Arabidopsis thaliana: one gene and its partners. The protein of the gene in region 1 interacts with the protein of each later gene in a pairwise test. Each region holds a gene or a part of one and is shown in the gene's direction. Other genes may lie near its edges.

Evidence for each region.
Region 2: the proteins of CLC-C (region 1) and AT5G16590 interact in a protein complementation assay, tested with the Arabidopsis thaliana proteins (one large-scale study listed by BioGRID).
Region 3: the proteins of CLC-C (region 1) and AT1G53790 interact in a protein complementation assay, tested with the Arabidopsis thaliana proteins (one large-scale study listed by BioGRID).
Region 4: the proteins of CLC-C (region 1) and AT2G44930 interact in a protein complementation assay, tested with the Arabidopsis thaliana proteins (one large-scale study listed by BioGRID).

The regions. Positions count from the first base shown.
Region 1 is NC_003076.8:20,286,786-20,295,692, reverse strand, and holds CLC-C (chloride channel C), read left to right. Parts: upstream 1-3,260; 5' UTR 3,261-3,549; coding exon 3,550-3,755; intron 3,756-4,254; coding exon 4,255-4,455; intron 4,456-4,651; coding exon 4,652-4,829; intron 4,830-4,940; coding exon 4,941-5,203; intron 5,204-5,514; coding exon 5,515-5,784; intron 5,785-5,906; coding exon 5,907-7,038; intron 7,039-7,114; coding exon 7,115-7,204; 3' UTR 7,205-7,209; intron 7,210-7,290; 3' UTR 7,291-7,638; downstream 7,639-8,907. Other genes in the region: MAD1 (mitotic checkpoint family protein), read right to left, coding at 7,918-8,007, 8,092-8,130, 8,214-8,342, 8,656-8,725, 8,822-8,907. UniProt on the Arabidopsis thaliana protein: Voltage-gated chloride channel.
Region 2 is NC_003076.8:5,428,272-5,435,488, forward strand, and holds AT5G16590 (Leucine-rich repeat protein kinase family protein), read left to right. Parts: upstream 1-3,312; 5' UTR 3,313-3,590; coding exon 3,591-4,875; intron 4,876-4,964; coding exon 4,965-5,282; intron 5,283-5,375; coding exon 5,376-5,650; 3' UTR 5,651-5,915; downstream 5,916-7,217. UniProt on the Arabidopsis thaliana protein: Might be involved in early recognition of growth promoting fungi. Appears to be specific for P.indica.
Region 3 is NC_003070.9:20,077,758-20,084,732, reverse strand, and holds AT1G53790 (F-box and associated interaction domains-containing protein), read left to right. Parts: upstream 1-3,268; 5' UTR 3,269-3,338; coding exon 3,339-3,401; intron 3,402-3,680; coding exon 3,681-3,762; intron 3,763-3,849; coding exon 3,850-5,035; coding exon of another isoform or gene 5,036-5,039; exon of another isoform or gene 5,040-5,120; coding exon 5,121-5,175; 3' UTR 5,176-5,202; intron 5,203-5,274; 3' UTR 5,275-5,652; downstream 5,653-6,975. Other genes in the region: AT1G53800 (muscle M-line assembly protein), read right to left, coding at 413-1,016, 1,105-1,406, 1,494-1,812, 1,908-1,945, 2,038-2,090, 2,188-2,565, 2,821-2,845.
Region 4 is NC_003071.7:18,527,760-18,534,908, reverse strand, and holds AT2G44930 (transmembrane protein, putative (DUF247)), read left to right. Parts: upstream 1-3,156; 5' UTR 3,157-3,237; coding exon 3,238-3,246; intron 3,247-3,419; coding exon 3,420-3,793; intron 3,794-3,937; coding exon 3,938-4,785; intron 4,786-4,892; coding exon 4,893-5,209; 3' UTR 5,210-5,421; downstream 5,422-7,149. Other genes in the region: AT2G44925 (uncharacterized protein), read right to left, coding at 6,778-6,994.

The DNA.
Region 1 (8,907 bases):
TGATTAATTTATTTATGATTTAGTTTGAATTTAAATGTAGAATTTGACTAGTTAACCCACAAGGGCATGCAGAGCGGTTCCGAATGTCTTTATGTCTAAAGCAATTTAATTACTAAGCTCATTAGCAATCATAAGACTTGCAAAACTTAGCTATGAACTTTACTCAAAGAGGCGATTGAACTTGAGTTTATTATCTCTCTCAAGAAGAATATTTATCTCTAGAATAAGAAACTTTCAAAATTCTCACAAACACTTGCACACTTGTTTACATCCACACTTGTTTACATCCAAATCATTTTGTATGCGTTTGCTTTTTCCTTTAACCAACCCTTTTTTATTATTTTCTAATTTGAGCATTGCAAAGTCTTTTAGGAAAACTCTCTTTCCCCTCACACATGGTGCGTCCCGAGAGGTTGACAGTTTTCTTTTTGGTGCAAACTTATTTACTTTTTGGTGGTTTAACCATCTCCATCAATGGTTTCTCATTTAGAAACTGTTCAATAGAAAAATAAAATATAATCAAAAAGTATGAGAGAGACTAGAATTAGTCTCTCAAGTGAGAAACTCTGAGAAACCCATAAAAACACTTGTATATCATTTATTGGTCAAATATTATTTTATTGTTAAAATTTAATTATATAACTAATATTTATTAAAATACTAATATCTTTCTTTTTTGAGAAACCAAGAAAATATCTCACTGATGGAGATGCCCTTAATAATTCTCACTAATTCAAGAATCACATGCATAACTTTTTGCTCAAAAACTCTGCACGAACAAATTAGATTACATATGACATATCTACAATTTGTTCCTCCATTTAAGAAATCGAAATGAGAAATCTAGTTAAATTCAAATTTTGTAATTATTACTATTAAGTTGAAACCATTTTATGGCATTGGACCAATACTCTAGAAATAAACCATCATTAGTTAGTCATTGCTAATTTATTTATGGCAATGATATCATCCACTATATTATCTAAGTACGGCTAGCTTCAACCATCCCTAATTTTCTTAACATATATTTGATGATTACAAGTATAGGACTAAATTATATGGATTGCATTATAGTGTAATCTGCTCAATTCTTTATTTTCTAATGGATAAAAGAATCATTTTTTTTTCTTGTTTCTTTTCTTTTGTGCAAAGGATAATGAATCCTTCTTTAGTTCTTTATGTTTGGGATAAAGTTGACGCAAACGTTCATTCTCATGCGTACACGTTTATCCGATGCATAAAAAATAATTCCGACGATGTATCATTTAATTAAACATGCTTAATTTTATATTGATGATGTTTCTGTTCTATATATTGTTGCGTTTAAGACTTCACTACACTATATTAATAATCTAGAAAACTATTTTTTATATAGTAAATGCACGTTGTAGTTGATAAATAATGGTAGTCTGACAATAAGTCGACGAAGATTGATTCAAAATTCTATCCTAGAACCTTGATGTCCACGTTATTAATGCAACTACCCTAAAAGTTTAAATCCTAGATCCTTCAGATCTGCAACCATGTATATGGTATGGCCTTTGGAATATTCAGGATATTCCCACGGTGCTCTTGCAGTTGTGCCCGTCGCTTGCTCTCACCCGCGAACGGCCCTTAAATCCAAACTCATATGATTTGATTTCAAAAGCATTCCATAAAACTGTTTTCTTGTATACAAAGATATAGGTTATGGCTTGTACCACTAGCATCCATATTCCGCAACATGTCAACGAAGATTTCTATAGTTTTAACACAATCATTTTTTTTGTAGATATCTTAGGGTGTCTTCAACTCCACTTAAATTTTCCCTCTATATTTATTAGAGTAAAATCATTTTTAATTCCACACTCTATACATCATTCTAAAACACAGTAAAGGATATGATTACTCTATATATATGTGGAGTAACTCTAATGTTTACTCTATTCTTTTTAGAATAAAATATAATAAAATGATACATTTGAGAAAACCCCTACTCTATTTTAGAATTACTATATTCTAGAGTAAAAAACATACATTGGAGATGATGGTCTTTTAGCTAGATAGGATTTAGGAGCTTCCGCTTGATCAAAAAAAAAAAAAACAGAGAGTTAGGAGCTTCCAAACAAAGTTCAACTATCGTGAGTACATTAACTCATTGCGGATGTTAATATATCTTAGTTGTGGCTTTCACCATTATACTCAAAATAAAAGAAGTGGAGACACTAAGATGTCGACTGGCCTATCAAATGTTGAAAAACCATCAAAACAAAGATCGAGTTGATTAATAATTATACAGTTGTGGCAGATTTTAAAACTAACCCCACAATCTATTAAAACTTGAGAGTGTTCCTTGGAATGAATTCAACATGTGTATTACAACACAATCAAGAAATTAATTCGGTAGGAAACCATGATTTTGATGAGACAATAAACGATTGGATCCGATCAATTTCCCCATAAATTTTTGCAATAATAAAATATGTCAAGGTCAGGTTCCATAACTAAAGGAAAACAATATCTGCATTTCTTTATCGTGTTTCTCCATCTTGCATGAATAAGAAGAATTGTTAAAAAGTGAATGCATACCTTGTTGATCTAATAACTAAAAAAAAAAAAAAAAGAGAAGGATCAACTGATTTACACCAAAGACATCTTAATTTGATTGGATCTAGCCAGTAGCCACCTCTCATAAAAGTTTAAAAGACTTTCTAACCAATAGATGTTGTTTTTTGTTTTGGTTTTAATGTTAAATCCAATAGATTTTGTTCTTCTCTTGAATTGTGTGATGTTTCAACAAGTCTGGCAAATACACAGTGGTTCGTATAATTGGACGATGTCTACCCTAGTTTGGGCTCATTTGGTTTCTTGTTGAAATCCAGTTTTGGGAACTAAAAATCATTATAAAATTTTAACAACAAAATTTTCATATCTAGAAACTAAATAAACACACATGAGAAGTAAGATTTCAAAAATATCTGTAATTGAGTTAGAATCAAAACAAACTTTACAAGATCATGTGAAAAAAATATACATATATTATTTTTATATAAGTATATCGGACACAGTTGTAAAATTTGAGAGAAATTATTTATGAAAAATCAATTCAAAATAATATATATAAAAAACAAATAGTTTTTTCCCCCATAAAATATCACGATTGTATACAAATTTGTTGGGCAAAAACAATACTATGAAAATTTTCATAATTAGATAATTTATTTATGCAAGTTTTTTTTTGTTATTGACTTTTTTATTTATTTAGAAGAATATATCCTTATGAAAATCATAACAAAGAAAGAGAGTTTAGTTTTGCCTAAATTAGGATCAAATAAAAAAACAAAATTCCTGACCCATACCACTCTACGACCTCCCTCAAAAAAAAACAAAAAAGAAAAAAAAACAATAAAAAAATCGACTTTTTAGCATCTGCTTGAGCGCGAGAGGTTCATGATTCCAGGAATCTCGTGCCCAATTATATAGCTTTCCATTTCTGTGGCTTTGTAATCTGATCGGAAATCGAAAACAAACAATTTTATTTTCTTAAAAAAACAAGATCGTGGAGGAGAGATGGATGATCGGCACGAAGGAGACCATCATGATATAGAGGTTGAAGGAGGAGCTTTACATGGTTTCGAGAGGAAGATATCTGGGATTCTAGACGATGGATCTGTCGGATTTCGACAGCCTCTTCTCGCTAGGAATCGAAAGAACACAACTTCTCAGATCGCTATTGTCGGAGCTAATACTTGTCCCATCGAAAGCCTTGATTACGAGTCTGTCCTTTTTCTCCCTCTTCTCTTTTCTTCTGCACATAACTTGATGTTTCGTTCTTTTTTCTGGATAAAGTTTTTAACTTTGGCAATTAGACTTTAATATGCTTAAATGTTTTCGATTAGTTTTTAAACTTCATCTCAAATTTGATTATGAGTCTATGAAGTTTTGGATTATGTAACATTTTGGGTCCCATCCCATGTATAATTTTTAAATCATAATGTTTTCATTTTTAATACTTTTGGGTAAAAATTGAAGCTTTTAGCTTTTGAGAGACATCATAGCCACTTCACCTAGCAATAGGTATGCTATACAATCTATTAGATTGAGAAAAGTGCAAATCTTTTTGGGGTCTTTATGATGATGCAATCATAGTTTCAGACTGAATTTGACTTTTTGTCTTTGTGTGTGTCTCCTACTGGTGTCTTGCCTAATTTGGTGTGAATGATTATAGCTTATGTAAACATATCAGGATCTTGACTTGGGATTTTTATTTGGCAGGATCTTCGAAAATGATTTTTTCAAGCAAGACTGGAGGTCTAGGAAGAAGATTGAGATACTTCAGTATACGTTTCTCAAATGGGCGCTTGCTTTTCTTATTGGTTTAGCTACTGGACTTGTTGGCTTTTTGAATAACCTTGGTGTTGAGAATATAGCTGGATTTAAACTCTTGCTCATCGGTAATCTCATGCTCAAGGAAAAGTAAGTCTAGCTTTTGTTGTTTATCTCTGCTTCTACGCCATTTTTTAGCACTTTCTATCCTGTTTCAGTTACTGTTTATTCACTGATTATATCTAAATTTCTTAATGGTTAATACTGTTATGAGAATTAAGGCTCACAGGGATATATGTGTGGATCAGAATGATAAATGACATCGGATGTTTCTCAAATACTGCAGATATTTCCAGGCATTTTTTGCATTTGCTGGTTGTAACTTAATTTTGGCAACTGCTGCTGCTTCACTCTGTGCTTTTATTGCTCCTGCGGCGGCAGGATCTGGCATACCTGAGGTTAAAGCATATCTCAATGGTATAGATGCTTATTCAATATTAGCTCCAAGCACCCTCTTTGTTAAGGTAAGATCCCCAAACAACTTTCCAAGCAGTCTTTGTTCATCCTGAATTTAGCATTGATGTCTTTGTTCATCTCTGTGGCCTTTTCTGATACGAAATATTTCGTATTGGTAGATCTTTGGCTCTATATTTGGAGTTGCTGCCGGATTTGTAGTTGGAAAAGAAGGGCCTATGGTTCATACTGGTGCTTGCATTGCTAATTTACTTGGACAAGGTGGTTCCAAAAAGTACCGGTTGACTTGGAAGTGGCTCAGATTCTTCAAAAACGATAGAGACAGAAGAGACCTGATCACTTGCGGGGCTGCTGCTGGTGTAGCAGCTGCCTTCCGTGCTCCAGTTGGAGGAGTGCTTTTCGCCCTTGAAGAAGCTGCTTCATGGTATTTTCTGTTTCTCTCTAACTCCTTATAACTAATCCAAGGAGTGATACCTTATGCAAGTCTAGTCATTGTAGTAGACAGACTCTGAAAGGGGAAGCTTCTCCCCAGCTAGAAGTCTTAATGCAAAAGTGCAAGAAGGTCACCATGTTTGTCTAGTTGAAAACATAATGTATCCAACATGACTTCTTTATGCAAATGGAAGTTAGTGAGCGAGGAAATCTAAGTGATACATAGTGTAGAGTTTAGACGGTTTGCGTATATTGCTATATCCATTTGGAAAAGATTATGTCTCACTTTTTTAATATCGTTAGGTGGAGGAATGCCCTTCTCTGGAGGACATTCTTCACTACCGCAGTTGTAGCAGTGGTCTTACGAAGTTTGATTGAGTTCTGTCGCTCTGGGAGATGTGGACTGTTTGGGAAAGGAGGTCTCATCATGTTTGATGTAAACTCGGGACCAGTGCTATATAGCACTCCAGATTTGCTAGCAATAGTATTCCTTGGAGTTATTGGTGGTGTGCTTGGAAGCCTTTACAACTACCTTGTGGACAAAGTCCTCCGCACATATAGCATTATAAACGAGTACGTCATTTCTCAACAAGTTAACTCTTTCATAAAGTCATTTTCCAACGAGTTACTCTTTCATAATATCATTTCTTTGCCTCTTTTCGATTTTCTTAATTTGTTCTTTCCATAACTTGCAGGAAAGGTCCGAGATTTAAAATTATGCTTGTAATGGCAGTTTCCATTTTGAGCTCGTGTTGCGCATTTGGTCTCCCATGGCTTTCACAGTGTACTCCATGTCCTATTGGCATAGAGGAGGGAAAGTGCCCTAGTGTAGGTCGATCCAGCATCTATAAGAGTTTCCAGTGTCCTCCAAACCATTACAATGACCTTTCCTCCCTACTTCTCAACACCAATGATGATGCAATCCGTAATCTTTTCACATCCAGATCTGAAAATGAATTCCATATCTCTACCCTTGCCATCTTCTTTGTCGCAGTGTACTGCCTTGGCATCATAACATACGGCATAGCCATACCCTCTGGGCTTTTCATTCCTGTCATTCTTGCTGGAGCCTCTTATGGACGACTAGTGGGTAGACTGCTGGGTCCAGTATCTCAGCTTGATGTAGGTCTGTTTTCTCTGCTCGGAGCTGCTTCCTTCCTTGGAGGCACAATGAGAATGACGGTCTCTCTATGTGTTATACTGCTCGAACTTACAAATAATCTCCTAATGCTGCCACTGGTGATGCTTGTACTCCTTATATCAAAAACGGTTGCAGATTGTTTCAACAGGGGGGTCTATGACCAGATTGTAACAATGAAAGGACTGCCTTACATGGAAGACCATGCAGAGCCGTACATGCGCAATTTGGTTGCAAAGGACGTAGTTTCTGGAGCTTTGATATCCTTTTCGAGAGTTGAAAAGGTTGGGGTAATATGGCAGGCTTTAAAAATGACAAGACATAATGGTTTCCCTGTAATTGATGAGCCACCTTTCACAGAAGCTTCTGAGCTATGTGGGATTGCCTTGAGATCTCATCTCCTTGTGCTTCTCCAAGGGAAGAAATTCTCGAAGCAGAGAACAACTTTTGGTTCACAAATTCTGAGAAGTTGCAAAGCCCGTGACTTTGGTAAAGCAGGGTTAGGTAAGGGGCTCAAGATTGAAGATTTGGATCTAAGTGAGGAGGAGATGGAGATGTATGTTGATCTCCATCCCATCACTAACACATCTCCTTACACTGTGCTTGAGACTCTGTCTCTAGCTAAGGCGGCTATTCTTTTCCGGCAACTTGGTCTTCGCCACTTGTGTGTGGTGCCTAAAACACCAGGGGTCAGTCTCTTTCTCGCTCTCTCTTCCTCTCGCTAGACTTGTTTATGTTTCTAACGCGTATGTTTTCGTATTGCAGAGACCGCCTATTGTTGGAATACTGACAAGGCATGATTTCATGCCGGAACATGTCCTGGGACTCTACCCTCACATTGATCCCCTCAAGTGAATAAGGTTAGCCGTTTAGTCTTCGTTGTTGCCTGCATTTGGTTGCTCTAATTGTTTTCTAAATCCAATTGGCACTTGTTCTTGCAGGTAATAAAGAATGGAGAAACAAGTACGTGAGAGTTCTCTAAAGATCTACAATGTAATAATATGTGAATATCAAAAAATTAAAAGCCCAGATGACCAATGTCACTTAGGCATTTATTTCAATTATTCGTTGAGATTGATTATGGAAAAGCAGGGGAAGGATGATTGTGTAATGAGGTGATACAAGTTTTTTTTTTTTGGGTTTTGGTTTTCACAACATTTATTCAAAACAATAAATAAAAACTAAACATGTAATTATATTATAAGTCGATATCAATTTTGCTCTAATCTTCTTTACATGTAGGTAGTCTGTGTATTATTTGTGTTTTAAATTCATGGTTATATAAAAATCTGTTTGCTTGATATTCAAGTGTTACTGTTTTTGGTGACTATAAAGTAATAAACGCATAATCAGAGAATGACATTAGATATTCTTTCTGAGTAAATCGAAACTAGTTTCTTTCATACCAAAATAGAGTTACTGACACCACAATTATAGCAGACATAACGAACCAGAGGTAGACATAGATAAGGCCAGTGTTTTAAGCTGCGGCTTTCGAGTTTCAGTTTCTATTCAGCAGGCTTTAGAAATATACAAAACACAGAGTTGGAAATAAGGACGCAGTGCTCTCAATATAGCGTCCGACGGTTGAATGATTCCATCGTTAAGTTGGCTGTAAAAGCTGGAATCGAGTTGAATTTCCTGATGAATATTTCTATCTGCAAGAAACACACAGAATGAGTTTTTACACTTCACTGAGAACACTGCGCTTATGAAGGAAGAAAACTATGTCTGTACTTTACCTGCTTCGCTATGTCGCCCTGAGAGGCATACTCATTGTTCTGAAGGAATTAAATCAGTATCAGTTGATTAACTGATTCAAATGCAGCATATCAAAGTTATACAATTTACAAGAATCACTTACTAGAATACTGGTGTTTCCTGACTCGTATTCAAACTCGAGTTTTTCATCATCACTTTGAGCATATATAGACTGGAGAGTAAACCGAGTCACTGGGATTCCATTGGGACGCTGATGTTCGTCCATTACAATCTGCCAGAGTTTTCAAAAGGAATTCACAAGTTTACAAGTTCTGTAGATGAATAAGACTCTTTGATCATCTATCTACACGAATAACGGAAGGTAAGGAAAACTATAGATAGCAATAGCTGAATCCCTCTTTGCAACAGAAACGCGCAGTTCATAGACCGTAAAAAATGGACAAAAGTACGAACATTACATTTTACAATGTGATAGTCAACATTCAGAAAACTGAAATATCCAGAATCATTGCCTTCAGGGAACCATTGTAATGCTAAAGAATAAAATTTGAGTGCTACGACATAATTATGAGCAAGTGGCATACCTTATAACCAAAAAGCTCACAACAAGCCCTTCTAAACACGGAAATTCTATCAGCAAAAACAGTTTTGTACCTGTTTCATAATTCATAGGCTCCACATATGTTTTAGTATGGGAAATCAAGGTCATATTTGCACAAAGGACATGTTAAACATTTATCAGTAACAAACCTCTCTTCACGTTTTTCAAGCGTAGCATTTTGCTCTTTTAGTTGAGCAATCTTTCCAGTTATATGAGAGTCAACTAGCTTCCCAGC
Region 2 (7,217 bases), about 15 Mb from region 1:
TTTTAAAATTTAAGAATTATTTTTTATATATAAAAGTTTTGCAAATTGTATCATTCTCTAATACATTTATATTTTATAATTTAATTTTATATATAATAACATTATACATACCACATAACATTTTTGATTTTATATAATCTTTTCTAAATTAGGATGATTTGATATGTTTAATATTAGTGGTCTTAAAAAATAATAAATTAAAGATTTAATCCGTATTGAAACGGTGGATTAATTATATTTTACCTTTTTATTAATGTTGATTCAAAAACCCGTCACTCCAAATCCGTCTTGCCAAAAAGCTATTTATTTTATTAATATTAATTTTACTAATGATATGACTCTGAATTATAATTTAAATATTTTACCTAATAACATAGGAGTACACCATATTTATTTAATAGGGGAATGTACCATATGACCGAATGCACTTTTACCCAAATCCACCAAAAAAGTCTTGCAAAAATACTATAGAGATAAGAAACGATAGTCGGTTTTGATAGGTATAAGATTAGCAAATATATTAGTTAGCTTAAATTAGTTAAAAAATACAAATCGAAAAGGTATATTACACTTTATTCGAATATAGTATCAAAACTTATATAACACAGAGATTTGATAATTTTTTAATTGTTGAATACTTTTTTTTTGTGCTAATTTTTATATGATTAAGATTTAATTGATTTTGTATATTAAATATTAAATTGTTTTACGAACTTATTTGTTTATAATTTGGTAACAGATAGATATTTGAGTATTCAGTATATTTTGCTTCAGTTTAGGAAATCTTTGATGACCCGTCTTTAGATCCAATAAGCCCTATAATCTAGATATTAACCTGTAGTATAACGCAGGTAGGCTAATATTTTAGTTAAACTAAAAACTTTTATTGTAAAGATGATTTAAAAATATATGATATTATTTTATTTGATTTTAAATGTATAGTAAACTGTGAGTTGTATATGTTTTGTTGATATTATCTATATTGTTTAGTGTTTAAGATTATACACTTGTAGTTTGATTGTTAATTTAAGAGTTTCACCTGTAGTATACCATCTTGTATTAATATCGATCTAAACCCGTCAATTCTAGGATTTTCCAGCTTGTATTAAAAAATGAATCACATCATACACATAAAAAATCTAATATGTTATTAATTATTATAGTATATAAGATTATAAATTTTCAATATAATATGTATGAAATTAAATATAAATATTTCAAATTATGACCCGTTACTCAGTAGAAAGTTTTCTTAAATCTATTTTTCACCCGTTATAATATTTTTTCATGTATTGAACAATTTATATTCGTTTTTAAAAATTCTAATTATGGCATATGCGAAAAAATTCTAATTATTTTTTTATAATGATGATATTATTTTTTCGCAAAAATAGAATCATATAAAGATGAGAAGTGAATTATAATAATTAATAAAAAATTAATAAAAAATTAATACAATAATTTAGATATCAAATCTAATTTGTTGATTTTAATTGGTTACTTTTTTGGAAATTAATAATGTATTTCATTTTTCTAATTAAATCAAATTAATTAAAATTTAGATATCAAATCTTATATGTTGATTTTGATTGGTTATTATTTTTGAAAATTAATAATATATTTCGTTTTTAAATTAAATTTAATTAATTAAATTAGTATTTGACTTTTTAATCCTTAAAGAGATACATTAATTTACTCTTTAAAATTTTATTTCTAATGGCATACCTATGTAATTACTTACAAAAATTAAGATTATATTTAAAATGTATTTCCCAAATAATATAGTAGGACTAAAAAGCTTTGAATCTTATAATACTTTAACGAAAAAAAATTTGAACTAAACCAAATATCATAACTGTCTGTGAGCTATTATTGTATTCGCACCACCCAATTAGAATTTTGATAGGTACTACAATATTAAGTTTGTGATAACAGCCAATTATTACAATTGTTTGGTGGGTCATTATGTTCCCGTGACTCTGGGCTATTTTGTATATATGTCACTATTTTTGCCTTTCTTGTTGTAAAATTTCGAAAGCTCTTTATTTTCATTGGTGGGAGAGTCCTAATCTTCTTAATTTCTTATCATATAGTCCCAACTTGTATGTTTTGTAATTGTAATAACAAGTTGGACCGACGGGATATTGTGTAATATGATTGGTAATACGCAAACGCAAAGTAACATCACAGAACAATGCTCACACGGAAAATATGAATTCATAAAATTTTATCATTATATGAATGGAAAGTGGGAAAAAAGCATACATTACGAAATTGTTTTTTGCATGACATAAGAAGAACCATTTAAAAACTTGGTAACGTCAATTTATGCTAGTTAAGTACTATACTCTTTCGTCAAATAAAGAAAAATGCTAGTAGTAGTAGAGTAGACTGATATTGTTGTCCCATGAAATAAAAGGGGCTTCAAATATATAGTTTGATTTAAGAACCCATTCTTGTATAAGCCTATTTTATGGGCCGTAATCAATAATAATAATGGGCTTACTTTCTACAATGTACTCTTAACTGAATATCAATTATAGTTTGGGCCGAAATAAAAACGTTGGTCTCATCAAAATCCTAATTGTTTTACTTTAATATCATGTCTTCAGTACTAAAATACTAATGAGGTAATCTAATTTGTATATTTTCTTCCCAAAAATTTTCGATATGAGTTATTCCATTTTAATACAGAATATATTCTTACTTTTAGAGGAAGTAAAATTTTGAAACTACTCAAATCCTATTCTATATATGTACAAACACATTTTTTTTCTGCCGATGACTTAGATAGACACAAAGCTAAGAATTTCATATTGTAAAAAAAGTTAACACGTAAATATGTTCCACATATCCGAAAGGAATTTAAATTAGTAGTGGTTCAGTATTATTAAGTCAGACATTTTTAGGAGACGTTCAATAATATAACATACTTTCCCAAGAGTTGCATGTTTCCATCGTACATAATAAAACCATAACTAAACAATTTAAATTATTCATTAAAAATAAAAAAACGGATAGTATTTGTTTAATTTTCACATTAAAGTATCTTTTAATTAAGTATTTATTATTATCTTTTATCTACTTATGTAATGTTTATAACACTTCTTACAAATCTCTCCAGATTCCTTCATAAATGGAAACAAAAGCATTTAAATATGTAAATCATATGATTTGTTACTGAAAATGCTAAATTACACAATAATAAAAAGATGTAAGAATATACAGCAAACTCATTTCTTCTTGCTGTAAAAATAATCGCACGGAATATTTAAATAAATTAATAAAAGATTCTGTATCTCACTGTAAAAACTAAAAAGGTAAAAAATTGAACAATTAACTTTTTCTTTCCATTCACTGCAGTCTGCAATTAATAGCCTCTCTCTCTCTCCTCCTTCATCATCTCCCCATAGCCGTCGAGACAGATAGAGAGAGCTGAAATTTCTGTGAGAAGATTTTCTTCCGACATTTTCTCTTTCCAAACACTGTTCTACACGTAGTCGGAAATCTCGGAAAAACCAATCTCCGAGTCAGAGAGAGAGAGAGAGGCGTTCACTGTTGTAAAGGATTAAGCTTTGGGTAAGAAGAAGATGAAGAACAAGACCAATTTAGGTCTCTCAGTCTTCTTCTTCTTTATATGTCTCGTTTCCGTGACATCAGATCTAGAAGCTGATCGACGAGCTCTAATCGCACTTCGTGACGGTGTTCATGGGCGTCCATTGCTGTGGAATCTAACAGCACCACCGTGTACTTGGGGAGGAGTCCAATGTGAGTCGGGTCGTGTCACAGCACTCCGATTACCCGGTGTGGGTTTATCGGGTCCATTACCAATCGCCATCGGAAACCTTACAAAGCTCGAAACTTTATCATTCCGATTCAATGCTCTTAACGGTCCTCTCCCGCCGGATTTCGCAAACCTAACTCTTCTCCGTTACTTGTATCTTCAAGGAAACGCATTTTCCGGCGAGATTCCTTCGTTTCTCTTCACTCTACCAAACATTATTCGGATCAATCTCGCCCAGAATAATTTCTTGGGTCGGATCCCGGATAATGTCAATTCTGCAACCCGGTTAGCTACTCTTTACTTGCAGGATAATCAACTCACCGGTCCAATCCCGGAGATTAAGATTAAGCTTCAACAGTTTAATGTCTCATCCAATCAGTTAAACGGGTCGATTCCGGATCCGTTGTCGGGTATGCCCAAAACCGCCTTTTTAGGCAATTTGCTCTGTGGGAAGCCGTTAGATGCTTGCCCTGTCAATGGCACTGGAAACGGTACTGTGACGCCTGGAGGAAAAGGGAAAAGCGACAAGTTATCTGCCGGAGCTATTGTCGGAATAGTGATCGGCTGTTTCGTCTTGCTTCTCGTGCTTTTCTTGATCGTGTTCTGTCTCTGTAGAAAGAAGAAGAAAGAGCAAGTCGTCCAATCGAGAAGCATCGAAGCAGCTCCTGTTCCGACCTCATCAGCAGCCGTGGCTAAGGAATCGAATGGTCCTCCTGCGGTGGTGGCTAATGGTGCATCTGAAAATGGTGTATCAAAGAACCCTGCTGCAGTGAGTAAAGATCTGACATTTTTCGTGAAATCTTTCGGCGAGTTTGATCTTGATGGATTGCTGAAAGCTTCTGCGGAAGTACTTGGTAAAGGAACGTTCGGATCTTCGTACAAGGCCAGTTTCGATCACGGATTAGTGGTGGCTGTGAAACGATTGAGAGATGTCGTGGTTCCTGAGAAAGAGTTCAGAGAGAAATTGCAGGTTCTTGGATCCATAAGCCATGCCAATCTTGTGACATTGATTGCATATTACTTCAGCCGCGACGAAAAGCTCGTTGTTTTCGAATACATGTCTAGAGGAAGCTTGTCTGCGCTGTTACACGGTAACAAAATAAATAACTCTGTTTATTGTTTGATTCTTTAGTAGTGATTACAGATTTTTTAAAACCAATTTTTTGGAATGAATTCGTAGGGAACAAAGGAAGTGGCAGAAGTCCATTGAATTGGGAAACGAGAGCCAATATAGCATTAGGAGCCGCAAGAGCAATTAGCTACCTCCATTCGCGTGACGCGACAACATCTCATGGCAACATTAAATCATCTAACATTCTATTGTCAGAATCCTTTGAAGCTAAGGTCTCTGACTACTGTCTTGCACCTATGATCAGCCCTACTTCTACACCTAACCGCATTGATGGTTACCGAGCTCCTGAAGTAACCGATGCTCGTAAAATCTCCCAAAAGGCTGATGTTTACAGCTTCGGTGTTCTCATTCTTGAATTACTCACAGGTACAACAACACACACAAAAACAGAGAGATCTTGAAAACCGTATTTTTGGTCAAAATGTTGATTCATATATTGGTTTTTGTATTGATTTGCAGGGAAATCTCCAACGCATCAGCAGTTACACGAAGAAGGAGTAGATTTACCGAGATGGGTTTCATCGATCACTGAACAACAATCACCATCAGATGTGTTTGATCCAGAGCTCACAAGGTATCAATCGGACAGCAATGAGAACATGATCAGGCTTTTAAACATCGGTATAAGTTGTACGACTCAGTATCCAGATAGTCGTCCTACAATGCCTGAAGTCACAAGACTCATCGAGGAGGTTTCTCGTTCACCTGCTTCACCAGGTCCTTTGTCCGATTGATTGTATTTTTCTTTTTCAATATATGGGGTCTAAATTGATCATTTCAAAATTGTTTGGTCTAAATTTGAATTTCTTTATATAGTTTGGTCTTTAAGTCAGTTGAGAGATCTACGTTGAAGTTTTTTTTTTTTTTTTTGTGTTTCTTAATTTTTTTAGTGAAATTTTTTATATACAAATTGATTGAGTGTGAAACAAATTATATCTCTCCTTTTCTATTGGTCGGCCCATCAATTTGAATATAGTAACTTTAACTTTATTTCATGAAACTTATCCACTATTGACTCTTTCTTTCTAACGAACTAGCAAATAAAACGGCAGAAACAAAAAAGAAGGAGCCTGATTATTATATGTTGGTAAATTATAAAAAGTTGTCAAACAAATTTTGTTGATATATTGTGTCTGATTCTTCTCTCCGACCAATCATAAAATGCATGTCAACGACACATATTTTCTGTCTTTCCTCAATTTCAAGTTTTATTTGTATTAGTGACTAAGACTAAGTATCTAAATACTTATTACAAACTCCATGGAGTAAATATAATTTTAGGTAACGGGTCTATTTAAAGTTTCTAAGTTGAATCTGTCAAGTTAGTCCCCACCTTTCAAATTCAAATTCAGATAATTTGGTGAAGCCATCAAAACAAAAGTTTCTTCATTTTTCCTTTAATCGTTAAAGTAAATTTCAAGCGACTCTCTTTAAGAATAAAAAAAGAAAGAAAGATATACTATCTTTATAAATTGTATTGATCAAGACATATGCAGAGGGTTTCGGAAAATCATTTACGGACTTAATGTGTGAAAGAATTAGTTGAGTGCATCATTCATGTATAACTTAGAACATATCTATTTTGGTTCGGTTGAGATGTAAATAAAAAATGTTAGTTAAGAATTAGTTGATGATTTTGGGTTAGTTTGTAAGTTTAAGCGATATCAATGGGAATTGTAATGGTGTCCCACATCTACACTTAAAATGTTTGGTGTTTCTTGTTAAAATTTGTAATCATTAATTGAGAGTTACACAAATTTATCATAATCAACTAACGTAACTACATTTGTTAAATGATTACTCTTAACAGTCTGACTTGTGTTAGTTGTTACTTGTTAGCTACAATTATGTGTGCTGCGACTCTTACAAGGGAAGAAATAATAACGTCGCATATCATATGCTGATTTGCATGAGATGGATCTATAGTATAACTACATTAAATGAATATAAACTAAACATTTTGTTTATGTCATTAAAACAGATTTAGGTATATGTCAAGAAAAGTTAATTACTAACAGTCGTTTCATTAGCCATATCATTCGAATATGTAGTAGGTTTTCTTTTTCTTTTCAATTTGAAAATTATTTAGTTAGAGTAATAAATTTAAAAACGTGCTTAAACTAGTAAGCCTTGTGATGGTGAATAATCCGTTGAATATTGAACTTTTGCCATCAAAAATATAATGAAGAATTAAGTCATGGTATATTGTTGACAAGTCTTCTGAAACTTTGTAGATTAGCTAAGTGATAGTGATGACCTTGTACGAGAATGACTGAATGAGATTCATATGCCTATAATTAG
Region 3 (6,975 bases), on another chromosome or scaffold:
GTAAAACTTGAAGATCAACTTTTTAGAAATTTTCGTGGGTGTAGGATTCAGGCTTTTACAAACTATGTAGAGGATGTGAAGCTTATCTAAGTGTTTACTTCTTCCAAACAGAACTCACATGATCTTTGTCGATCTTTGTCTTCTTCTTTTTTTTGGTCTGGTATCTTTTGATGAGGTTTATTGGTAGTTCTCTTTGCTTTATTTCTTTGGTTAATTCTTTAATAATCGGAAAGCTATGAAGAATTGTTTACTAAGCTGAAACTCTGACATACAATTGAGTTATAGATACAATTGGCACATCACAAACTGGAAACTGCTTCTCTCAAGCATAAGAGATAAGACCAATATATAAGCCAAAATTTTGAATTACTAATTGAAAAATATGACTTTTCTCTGCTAAATTGCTACGACATTAGGCTGCTTCTGTGACTTCGACGAGCCTTCCACGAACCCACTTCTTCGTTACGTTTCCTGATTCCAAAGATGCAGCCTTTTCGTCAATCCCGTGGTAACCATTTGGAAGAGGATGATTCTCAGCAAGACTGATAGCTCCATTAGACTCTGCTGGTGGATGGACTCTCGTTCCGTTTGGTTGCCCAACTATCCCGAGTTTGATATCTTCTCTACCTCCTTGGGATGTGTTGGATTCCATATCAGAAACAAACTGGTTTGTAGTACCTTCTATAACGAAAGTCGGTAAATCGTTAGATCTCATGTTCATGTGAAGACTCTCTCCGTTGATCTGCAATGTGTGTGTTCCATTAATCTCTCCTGGTCGTTCTTGATCGTTTGTATCTTTGGTTTCAGATTCACTGTCATTAGGCTGAGGTGAAAGAAGAAATGGGTAAGTCCCATCTTCATCTGAAGCTATCTGCCTCATCTCTAAAGATTTAATCAGTTGTGTTGCTTCTGCTATGAGCTTTTTACTCTCTAACAACGATGCTTGAGCAACCGGGCTTTTCAAAGCAGCAATCTCGAGGACTTTCGCAGCTTTCTCAGCTTCCGAGATCAAAAGCCTGAGGCGAGAAAAGGTTAATTCTTGTTAACTTCTGCTCACAGTTGCAAACAGAGAAATATTAACAATTCTGTTTTAAGTGTACTGACCTTGCTCGTTCCACAGCATCCATCTTCTTTGATTCTTCCGCCACTCGTTTTGCTCTGATGCTTTTGATCATTTCCAGTTTTGAACTTGCCAAAGGATCTTTATACGCAGGTGTTTTGCGCTTCCTTACTTTCACCACTTGAACTTGGCTTTGACGTTCAAACTCTGAATCCCTTGTACTTTTCTTTGTAGGAGTCTTCTTTCTAGGTTCTGCATCGCTCCTTGGTCTTCTACGACGCCTCTCGACACCAACAGGTATACCGTGATATTTTGCCAAGCCGGAGCAAACTCTTTCACGGTAAGACTGATAAGAGAAAGCAAACTGAGTTAAATATGACCAAGAACAAAACATCAAACAAGTTTGATTTGATCAAGTGACTAGACAACTTACTGGATCAGCCCATTTAGCAGCTATTGCTTCTGCAATTCTCCTTCTTTGTTCAGGAGATTTTGGCGCTCTTCTGTTACTTTTAGCTCCTTTAATGGCTTTCCTCTGCTCAACACTTTCCAGCCATTCCAGTTGATTCTGTTGATCCAAGATGTTGTAAGAATCCCACTGAAGCTCTTCTTCGTCTGTATATCCTTGTTTAGCAGCCTCCGCTAACAAGTTTTGCCACTCGAAATGACATGTCTCCTGCACTTTTCTCCTCTCCTTCCTCCTTGCCCATCGCATCCGCACTCCCTCTCCAATCTTCATCCGTGTCTCCTTGCTGTAAAAATCATGCAAATTTGGGAAGATAGTATTATGATAACAAAAACCAAAAGCTCCAACAGGTTTAAAAGCAAACGAAAAACCGGTACTGACTTTTGTGCGTGCCCAAGATTCGCTAATTTCATCTTGATCTGCACAAGGACAAAGACACAAAGGTTCTATGAGGGGTTGAAAATTCTGATGCATAGAGCAAACATATAGAACCATTCTTACATGACATCACCTTTGGGTCTTGCATTGCAATCTTTGTCCTTTCTCTAATCTTCTGTAGGGTCTCTGCATAAACGCAAAAGAAAAAAGATTATGAAATGTTTCCAATTAGAAGCAACTGAAGATAGATTGCTGAAGATACGAATAAGCAAAAACTACTCACCTGGACTATGCTTCCTGCCTTTGTTCCAAGGAGTGTTCCCTCTATTTGCCTTAGAAATCCTCATCCTTCTCAACTTTTCTCTGTCATCCACTTGTTCTTCGCCATCATCAGCACTTCCATTTGAGGATTTCGAAGAAGCAGAAGACAAAGAAGAGCTCCGTTCGTTTTCTTTTTGAGCCGGATACTTGGTTTCAAGAGTGGCCACTGCAGTAATAAGAACTTTTCCTCTTCGGACATGACTATGACCCGTGTAAAATTTCAAATTCTTGGAGAAACAAGACTGTCTCCATGGATTAGGTAGACTTTTAGCATGGATAATACTCTGAGCCCCCAATGGAACAAGATGAGCTTGAAATGAAGGTTGGATAGTAGCAATATCTGCAAAGATTAAACCAAAGAGTCATCTCCATTAGCTAGTAAACATTCTCTAGATACTGTGCGAATCACTAGTCTTTTCTTATACGCATTTAGACCAAGATTGCAAATGCAAATAATTGATACTCAAGAATGATGAAATCCAATAGAAAAGAAACAAAATTGAGAAGAAAGAGAGTCTCAATACTGAAGTAGAATTCTAAACAGTAACCAAACACAAACCCAGAAAATTAAGAGGTAAATATCTGGAAACTTTACCAGAAAAGGTACCTAAAGAAGGCATTGGGAGCTCATTCAGACCAGGAAAACGAAAAAGGAAGAAACTTTGAAACACTCTTCTCTGCAACACCAACCAGGATGTCTTGTAAGATTATACGGAACAATACATTAAGGAAATATGTTCCTCTTACTGTCTGAGAGAGGCGAGAGTTTTTGCAGGAATTTGACAGACAAGGATAAGCCACACAAAAAGCAAATTTCAACGAAGATACTTGTGTCTGGCTTTGACGCAGCAACCAGGGAGGCGATGGATAACGAGACCCGGCTCGCTCTAATGACCCGACCCGGATCACTGCATATTGGGCTAATGGGCCGCGTTTCATAGCCCAATTCACACGTGGTATTATTTTCTCTGGCCTCTCCAACAAGGCACCTAACGTGGCCCTTACTTACTAGACCTTAATAACTCGGACAAAGTTGGTACTCTTGTTGGTGTAATTCGATTTCTTCTTCTCACATCTCAAATCTCCGATCAAAATCCGAAAAAAAAAAAAAAAATGGTGAGAGATATTGTAGACGATCCGCTTGACGAAGATGATATCGCTCTCGTCAAGACTTATGTAAGTGTACCCTTTTAGAACCCTAAATTTTGCTGTATTTTGTTTCTTTGCGAACCAGTTTGATGTTTTCTCATGAGTAATTTCGAGCTAATTGCTATTTTATGATCCTATTTAGATCATTTTTGTGCTTATATGACTAACTAGCTTTGGGTGACTCTGCCTCACTGTTTGAATAAGTCATCCAAGTGAAAAAAAAACGTTCATAGTTATACTTGGTTTGATATGTTGCGTCTCCATATGTTTTTTTGCTGACCTTGTTAAAATCTCAATCCTTCGCAGGGGTTAGTGCCTTACTCTGCACCTATCAAGAAAGTGGAGAAAGAAATTAAGGAACTCACCGAGAAGATCAACGATCTATGTGGTTTGTGCACACTGAGATAGTGGTGTTACTTTCATTAGTGACTTCTATTTACCGAATGATTAAATTGCATATACGGGTAACTTGCAGGTATCAAGGAGTCTGATACTGGTTTAGCTCCTCTCAGTAAGCAAATGATGCAAGAGGGGCAACCTCTCCAGGTGGGTTATGTTTCCTGTTTTAGATATATCCCGATCGATCTCCTCATGGATATCTTTTCGAGAGTTCCTGCAAAGTCTATAGCTAGGTTTCGTTGCGTATCCAAACTCTGGGAATCCATACTTTGTCGTCCTGATTTCAAGGAGTTGTTCATGACTATGTCTTCGATTCGTCCACCGTTGCTTCTTTTCACCTTCCAAGATGATGATGGCAATTTGTTCTTCTTCTCTTCACCTCACCCTCAGATTCCATGTAACGAGAATACGTCTCTTGTACCCACCCGTTATCATGTTCAACATACCACAGATTCTTTTTCTGAAATTGGTTCTCCTCTTTGTGGATTCATCTGTCGCCGAGGTAAGAGAAATCTAGATACTATGGTAATTTGTAACCCAGTCACGGGAGAGTCCGTATCCTTACCCAAAGTGGAACTGAAGAGTATTAATACTGAGACAAGACCTTATTTAGGATATGATCCGGTCCGCAAACAGCTAAAGGTATTGTGCATCAAGTCTGATGATATCCCAAATACGTGTGATGAGCATCAAGTTTTGACATTGGAGAATGGAAACCATTTATGGAGAACAATCCAATGCAAACCCCATTATCCTAAATCTGATGGAATATGCATAGATGGTATTTTGTATTATACAGCTGGGTTCGATATGCGGGCAAGGGTTTCTATGGTAGTGTGCTTTGATGTGAGGTCTGAAAAGTTTAGCTTTATCAACATACATGTATTCATGTTGATGAATGACTCTTGTACTCTAATCAACTACAAGGGTAAACTAGGTGCACTTCAGTTTACATGTTTGTCTCCAAAACGTCTTAGGTTCTGGGTTCTAGTAAATGCTGAGAAAAATATATGGACCAAATGTATCTATGCATTGCCTCCTTTGTGGAACAACTTAGTTCAGCATACGGAGTTAGCCATTGTTGGAATGACTGATGGAGGTGAAGTTGTGTTGTCACAGTACTGTCTAATATACGCATTTTACATTTATTACTTCAACCTTGAGAGCAAGAGTCTCACAAGAGTTCAAATACAAGATGTTGAAATGTTCAAACGTACGAGAGTTTACACCTCTCTAGGCTATGTTGAGAATTTTAAACTTATGTAAGTGTTCAACTATTGTTTTAATACTTGGTCTAGTTTATTCTTTCAGTTGATAAGTGTCTATCTTACATTCTTTTGTTCCAAGGACTGACTATGACAGAGGATTCAACACATTTTCTCCTCAAGGGAGGCTATTTTAAGTCGAGTCTGCCACTGAAGCTAGCAAGGTAACTTTCTTATTAGTTACAAAGGATCAACTTAAGTACTTAACATTTACGACTTGTAAATTATTTATGCAGCTTTTCATGGCTAGCAGTTTCACAGACAATTCCACAACTGAATAGATGGGCAGATTTTATCCTTTCACAGAAGCGACCACAACAAACAGTTCTACCTCCACCACGCTAAAGATCTTCGATAGGCTTTGTCTCCACTCTGAAAATATTCCTAGGCAAATCCAAGGATTGTAATTGGAAATTGTTCATCATTTTAACTTGGTTAATTGGATAATTTTATTCCTTTGTTGGTCATACTAGTCTGCTTTTCATTTTCAATTCTCTTGTATTTTAAATTGTTTAGGAATACTTGTCTTCGTTTCGACTTTGGCCACGCCAACAAGAAACATCTTATGTAATAACAGTCATTAAGCTACTTTATGTAAAAACAACCTTATACTTTATGTAAGACAAAACATATGGGCCCAAAAAGGCCCAATAATAATCATTTACATTGGTTCGTAAGTCAGTTTGATTTTTGTTTCCTCACCTCCCCGATCGTCGGAGGATGTAGAAGGTGGCGGCGGCGGCTCTCACCTGCTTCATCGCAGTTTAGAAATGACTAGAGGAGATCGACGTAGCTCCCCGAGTTTCTTCTCCGGCTCGAAGCGGAGTTGGCTAGGGTTTCACGGTGGCTCACGGTCGCCACTTCTATTGATTCCGAGCTGATAGATGATGGTGGCTCGAGGTCAATCGTGCGTATGGGTTTGCGGCTCCGATCATCCCTGTGACGGAAATCGAGCGGCGGATCCCGCAGCTGAGGGGTGATGACGGCTATCGTCGGAGGTATTTCGTGCTCGCTTTCTCTTTTCGGGAGTTTCAGCGACGGCGGTTCATGTGATGGGGTTAGGTCCTGCGGTAAGATACGGTTCCTCCGGCTTGCGGGATTGGTGGCTCCGGTCTCGGGTTGTTGGCGGTGGCTGTGCTCGCAACCGTCGAATAAGGGATAGCCTCGTTGAGAGAATATCGGTTTTATTTCCGGTTTAAATCTCATCAACAAACCATCTCTAAACCGGGTTGTACTTATGAATTGAAAACATCACGTAGTTTTATTATCTCTTCTATCTGAAAACAGCACGCATGTTATAGCATTTTGAATGATTTTTTATAAGGGATTATTTAGAGGCCTAAGGCGCGTAAAGAAGAGCTAAAAGCGTAACAGAAGAATCTCTCTCAGTCGCAACAGTTTCCGGTTACTCCAAGATCGCCGTCGTGCACCTTTCTTCTCTCGCTCTCTGGTTCTGAGGTTAGCTCGTAAATCTCATCGACCATCACTTCTTCTACTACTCGTTCCAATTACCATAGTACGAAGACATTGCTCGAGAATCTCTCAGTCGCAACAGAGTCCGACTACTCCAAGATCGCCGCCGTGAACCTTTCTTCTCTCGCTATCTGTTTCTGAGGTTAGTTCCTATATCTCATTGATCATCTCTTCTTATCCTACTCTGATTCAATTACGATAGTAAGACGACATTGCTCGCGAATCTTGGTCAGGTTGATGTTTCTTGTAACCGCAACTTTGCAAAGGGTTGGCTATATCGTTCCTTTGATGCTTAGATGAGAAATTTGATAGCTTTTCTGGAGAATTCCCAAAGGAAATCAGTGGAAATGAGATAATTTAGGGATTAAACTGAGTAATTGATTGTTGGAGATACACTTGTGTTTGGATATTCGATTTGGATTGTAAAGATCAGTTTATCCAGTAGTCTAACTTTTCAATTGCCT
Region 4 (7,149 bases), on another chromosome or scaffold:
GTTTTCGTGTATATATACACAATTTTAAGTTAGAATCATACAGATAGATACAAAATAAAAGTCTAAAAAACCAAGAAAGAGAGAGCAGAGATTGTGGGAAAAATCTGCGAGCGATATACGATGATTGATGTGAGATTTAATAATTTTATATAAGTCAATGGGCACACATGGCGCACATGCCACTCGTTTTTAATCGTACAAAAATAAAATATCAAAGACTTAAAGAAAAGGAGAACCACTATTTTTATTTTTTCAACAAAGAAAAAAACAATTAGTTAAAAGGAAAACACAAATAGAATGAGAAAATTCCTCTAATCTTCATGTTACATTATTCATATCATCGATCGGCGAAGAGTTAATACGGTGTCAGCATGCAACCAAAACTGGTAGTAAAGAAAGAACCAATCAAATGTCGCCATCTGGTTAATACTAGTGTGATCAACGGTGGAGATCAGATCTCAACGACGTTGTATATAAGGATGTTTTTTGATAGAACTTTTAAAGATATTGACAGTCACATATTATGCTAAAAGGTAAAAAGGAAAAGAAAAAATCTGTGAATGTAACCATACGGTAAGGGGAAAAAAGTGGTCCTAATTCATCATTCTAAATTCCTTCTATTTCGTGGAAAAAATGGATTCTGTATTTCTTCATATATAAACTATATATACATTGATATATCGCAGTGTGAATAATATACTAGCATATAATGCATCGATACGTAGACATAAATCAAAGTACAAATATGCATATAATGCATCGATACGTATAAAAGGGGTAAGGGAGAAGCGGTTCAGAAACTTAAATATGATGTTCCCTCTCACTCTTTTGTTCATTCAATTCTATGTTTCCCTCAAAAAGAGGTAATCGTATTAAATTAAAATAAAATATAAATTGGAAAATTTTCCATTAGCTAGTAGGCGATGGGCAAGAGTCATGAGAGACGTATTGCTTTTCTCATAGATCCAGCTTGGTTTTATTTTATAACAGCTACTACTAGTATTGAGCTACTACTTTGTGTTGTTTGATAGTGCAACTTAGTTTACCTGTTCCCCTTTGAGTGCGAGGAACTCTCGCAGAATTTAGCAATAATGTTTTTTATAAACTCTGTCTTCATTGATTTAGATGAATTTTGCAATACAAAGTTGAGACAATAAAATTAGCGAGAATCTGATTTTAAAATAGAAATTATCAAAAATGTCTTGTTTGTATTTCAAAGTTCAAATTCACATTTTTTTTAAGTATATTGTTATATGAAAATGAAAACCAACAAAATAATAATGAAGTTATTTACTGAAATATCTTTGCAAAAAGCCATGATACTTTTATAAAACGTTTGATGATGACAAAGTTTTTCAGCTAAAAACAGGATAGTAATCCAAGAAAATGTTTTTTTCTTTGTGGTATTTTTCTTTGAAATCATAAACGTACCTATTATAGTTTTTTTGGTAATTGTGGAAGTTCGTTGAGTGGTAACATCCCTTTGGGCCACACCAATTCAGATCCTCCAAATCTTGCTTTTGGTCCGACTGAATATCATTCTAGTTATAATAATAACACGATTGTAATTAATATATATTAAGACCCATTATAATTTCAAAATATTTATGAAAACATGTATTGAAATTTCTGTGTTCTATATAAAACTAAGGACTCTCTGTTTCTTCTTCTTTTATTAAACTGCAGGACTCGGTGTTTCAAATGCAATTTTTTTTGTTCTTTTCCTTTTTATATAAAATACATAAACAAATTAGTAATGTAAACGACTTTTCTTTTAATATAATTGAATGATAAGAAAATAGTCTCCAAAAGTTTTTAATACGTTACACATGCACATTAGTAATAAATTGATGATTACTAAAGGTTTCTTTCACGTTGGATATTTTAACATTTGATCTAATCCCGAAACCGTTGGATTACATAGATTTGGAGTATTTATTACAACACAAATGTTTATTACCAATTTATTTTGAATTTAAAACCAGAAACCTTATACTAACGTTGGTAATCGACATCAATATTTTCAAATATAAAAAAAAATAGTTACAAAAATAAAAAACAGAGATTAAGACCTTTCATGAATACCTTTTTGTCATAGTGAAAACTAAATTAAGATTTATATTTATAAACAAATCCAGTCATGCAAGGGAAAAGGTATGTATAATGTAGAGGAAGAACAAAATTAAGAGCGAAATAGGTCTACATCACATCATTTATATATCTATTAGTGGCTGCCCTACGAATTGTCTTTGTCTCCATAATTTTATTTGTCATATTAAATTGCATCTTTAAAGAGACAAAATTTGATTATGATCCACTTTTTTTTTTTTTTTCTTTTCTCCTATTTTTCCACCCCCGAATAATTCTTGAAGTTTCTGCTTCTTTATTTACTTTTCATTATTATATGTCCATCTTTATTTTGGATTATATGCTCGCTCTTGTAACTTTTGCGTTTTTTTCTACTTGGAAAATTAATATTTATAGTCAATGAAAGTTAAATACTATAGATAACCAATGAGGTGTCCTTCATCCATACGTTGGGTATAAATGAATGAATAATGTATTTTGTCACATTTAGACCCCCACCACTATTGTGAGAATTTTGTAGGTCTCTAATTGATATGTTTTTTTTTTCACAAAACGAATCCAACAACAGGTATATCGCTCATAGTTTAAGGTATTCGAAACCGTTAAAAAAAAGTTAACATGGCAAGTATCAGTATCACCTGACAAAATAATTAGTTGCCTATGATTGGAAAGAAAAAGAAGCGCCGAAATTGTAGTTTGGTTAAGATTGTCTTGACAGTTGTAGCTCCGACCCAAATGATATATAGGGGCAGACTTAAAGCCCAATGGGCTGATATTATGATGGGCTCTAGTAACTGTTAAGAAACCTGAGGAAACTTGTGTGAGGAACATCAGATGGTCCAATGTGTTCCGCGTTGGACTTTTGTTTGTTTGTTATTCTTCACCTCCTGACAGCATAATTCTTTGCTCGGAAGATGATTTAAACAGAAACATATAAAGGAATGAAAAAAGTTGGGATAAATTTCCCTAAGGCAGAAGCAATATAAAAATGCTTGAATTAGATAGCTTCACACTCACGTCATTTTGTGATCTTATTTATAAATCCCTAACCTCGTGGTGTGAAAACCCACGCACAATTAAATATATATTCAAAGAAGAAACGTGCCTTTAATCCAAATATCGTTAGTTATCACTTCTATATCAGCATACATGGCCAAGGTTCGAGGAAAACCTAAATTTGTTTAATTATGTTTTTATCAAAGAATTCATTTATCTTCTTCTTTTCTTCCACTTTTGTAAATTGAACAATTTTTTTTAAAAAAAAGCAGAATTATCTCTGATTATCATAAAATTTAGATAAATGAAGTTTCAAAATGTCTTCTTACTTGTAGGAGAAGCAACCGCTGATGGAGGATCTAGAACAAGGAATACAGCTAAGTACGAGGGAGAATGAAACCGGATCTGGTAAAGTGGGTAGATGGAGCGAAGGATTTCGTGATCCATTGGTTTCTAAACACGGAACAGCTGAGAAAGCAAAGATTGTTTCTGTCACGACTAAACCGTATAAACCGGATTCTTGCTATGAATCTGAGATTTCCGGTATATGGCCTTCTTCGTTTAGCAAAGAGTATTGTTGCATCTATAGAGTACCTAACCGGTTAAGGAGAGTTAATCCAGAGGCATACACTCCTCAGATGCTTCTCATCGGTCCACTTCAACATTCTAAGAAAGCTAATGCCCTTGAGCTTTCCAAAACCGATTTAAGGTACGTGTGCATATATTAACCATACAGAAGAAGAAAAAGGCTGGTTTCTGCTTTTATGTTTGCGTTTGTGTGTTATAGTTACATTTATAACATGCTAGATTATAGTGTTTATGTGGAAAATATATAATATGTTACATTGTTCAGATATTTGGACTATATGAACATGGAGCTTCACAAGAAGAAGTACCTTAATGCTATTGCAAATAAATATGGGGATCAAATTATCGAAGTTTTCAAGGAGATCATAGAAACAAGTGAGAAATTCGTTAGAGAAAGCTACGCCGAGTCAACGGACTGGATCAAACCTCAAGATTTCGTTGATATGATCCTTCTCGACTCGGTGTTCATACTAGGGGTCTTTATTCAGGCTGAAACTACTCAAAACATCAAGAAGAAAGAAGAAATTCTTTTCCATGAAGAAGATATTATTTTCCAGGAGCCTTGTCTCATAACCACTATTTTAGAAGACCTAATCTTACTCGAGAACCAACTCCCTTATGTCCTTTTAGAGAAACTCTCTAAACCTTTTTTCGCAAATCTTAAAACCAAGGAAACTTTCCGTGACATTATCCTTCGAGCTTTTAGGTTGAAAGGAGAGATCAAAGAAGGAACGAATTTCCGTCATTTTACAGATTTGTTCAGACGTGTCCGTGTGGAAACACTTTGTTTGACAAAAGAACAAATCAAAAGCGCAAAGGATAAGCCACCGGAGATCATAAAGAGTCTGCACAACGCAGACAAACTAGACAGTGCTGGAGTGGATTTTGTGCGTCTGGAAAGAAAAAACGATTTATCGTTGGTGATAACTTTCGAACGCGGAATCTTGGAAATACCTTGTTTCTTAGCGGACGACAACACCGAGAGGATTATGAGGAACTTAATGGCCCTCGAGCAATGTCATTACCCTCTCACTGCTTATGTTTGTAACTACATAGCTTTCTTGGATTTTCTTATCGACACCGACCAAGACGTTGACTTGCTCGTCAAGAAAGGTAAAAACTCTATACAAAATATATATCTTGGTTTTAAAGATTAAGTTATTAGTCAGACAAATTTATGAGATTCCTAATTAACATATCTTCACATTTTCCGTTACAAGGAGTTATAAAGAACTGGTTAGGACATCAAGCATCGGTGGCGGAAATGGTAAACAAGCTGTGTTTAGGGCTTGTGGATTTTGGATCTCACTATTACGGTATAGCCGATAGACTCAACAAACACTACGAAAGCCGTCGCAATAGATCCATAGCCACACTCCGGCGAGTTTACTTTAAAGATCTTTGGACCGGAACTGCCACCATTGCCGCCGCCGTTATCCTCGTGTTGACTTTGATTGGGACGGTTGCTTCCGTACTCCAGGTGACGCAGAAGGATAATAATTCTCCACCGCCTCCGGCTATGTTCCGAGGACCGTAGATTGTCTCTTGTTATATACGAAACAAACAATAGTTGTTTTTTTTCTCCAATGTTTAATTTGGTTTTCTCTTTGCTCGACTTTGTTCCACAAATAATGCTTCTTTTTCATATTTTCTTTATTTAGTCCATCATGGCTAACGTCATCTTTTGATTATGTATCTTCAAGTTAAAATTCTCAGAAAAATCTCTCAAAACATTTTCTCCGTTAAAACCTCCAATTTTTTTGTTTTTATATAAAATATTCAAGTTGAAACAATTTTCCTACAAGAACGTTTACATTTTTTTCCATATTCTCATGTAAACCTTCCAACTAATTAGGTTATCTACATAAACTTTCAAGTTGTCAAATTTGACCTCGATCAGTAGTTTATTAATGTTTAACGATAATTATATTTAAAACAGTAAACGGTCATTAACGATATTTTTCGTTTATTTAGTTTTCAAAATTTATAAAAATCCTTTTAAAAAAAAATGCATTCTATATATAGGGTTTGTAAATAATTATTTTTGTGTTTCTTATTATAACTAACACGTATATTTTTTAAAAAACTAAATAAACAGAAAATATGTCGTTAAATGTCGCTTACCATTAATCAATCATTGATCGGGCTCAAATAGTAAACATTGAACTAAATTAAATTATACTCTGTTATATATATATATATATATATATATATATATGTGTTTTTTTTTTTTAATATAAGCTATAATAAAGAACTAGTTGGGACGCTCAAAATTTGTATCGTACAAGGTTAACAAGCTGTGTTTAGGGATTGTTGATTATGGCTCTCACTATTACGATCGACATAGCCCAGAGGCTCAACAAATACTACGAGGATCGTTTCAACTTTATCAGAATACAAAAAAAGGACATCCTTCGCCACTCTCAGTCTACTTCAAAGACCTTTGGGCTTTGGACAGGAACTGCCACCGTTGGCGCAGTCGTTATCCTCGTGTTGACTTTGCTTGGGACGTTGGCTTCCGTTCTATAAGTGACACACAAAGACAAAAATCACACTAATGAAATCTCTCCCGAAAATTGTAGATTGCTAGTTTGCTACTCCTACTTGCTATATACACGAAATCAAACGAGACTATGTATATTATTATTACAATATATTTTCATCCATTCTGCAGAGGCATACTTAAAAAAAATCGGTTACTTTATTTTCTATATAATAAATTTTCGTTTCTAATATCAAATCAATGATTCAATCTTAGTGACTAAATATAGTAGTCAATATTCAGAGCCATCCTCCAACTCATTTTCCTTATCTAAAATAAAATGCAATATATGGATTTAAAATTAACATAATCACAAAAAGATATCTAAAAATCATACCAAAAAAAAGAAAAACATAAAATGAAATAAAAAAAACAATAACTAGATATAGTCAACCACTTAAAATAAAACATATTACTTTAACATAGTTTTTGTCAACAACATTGAAATGAAATAAAATAGGTGATTACATACCATATGGGAGACTAGTTCACTCCCTTTATTCATAAAATTAAAAACAACAACGAAACTTATTCAAGAAACCACGAAAAGGTTTCACTTAAACTTAAGCATTGGCGTTTCTTGGTCTCTGACTAACAAACCTCCTGCAGTACATGGGACGTCCGTAGACAGAAAAGCAAACCTTTTCATAAGGCCCCAGCACGAAATCTGGTATGAAAGGAGAATTGAACATCACCTTCCCGAACAAGCCTTGCCCAGCAACCTTCGCTGTTGGCGTAGGCTTGTGCACAAACACCTCCATCACACTCCCCGGGTACATCCTAATCATCATCATCACACATATACACATAATTGAACCAATTGAATCATATAAAAGATGTAATTAAAAAAACAAATTGTTCGTATAACTAATTAATAACTATTGTATCAAGAAGCGTGACTGTGAGATGCAAGTCGAGATCTATTAGTACAAACT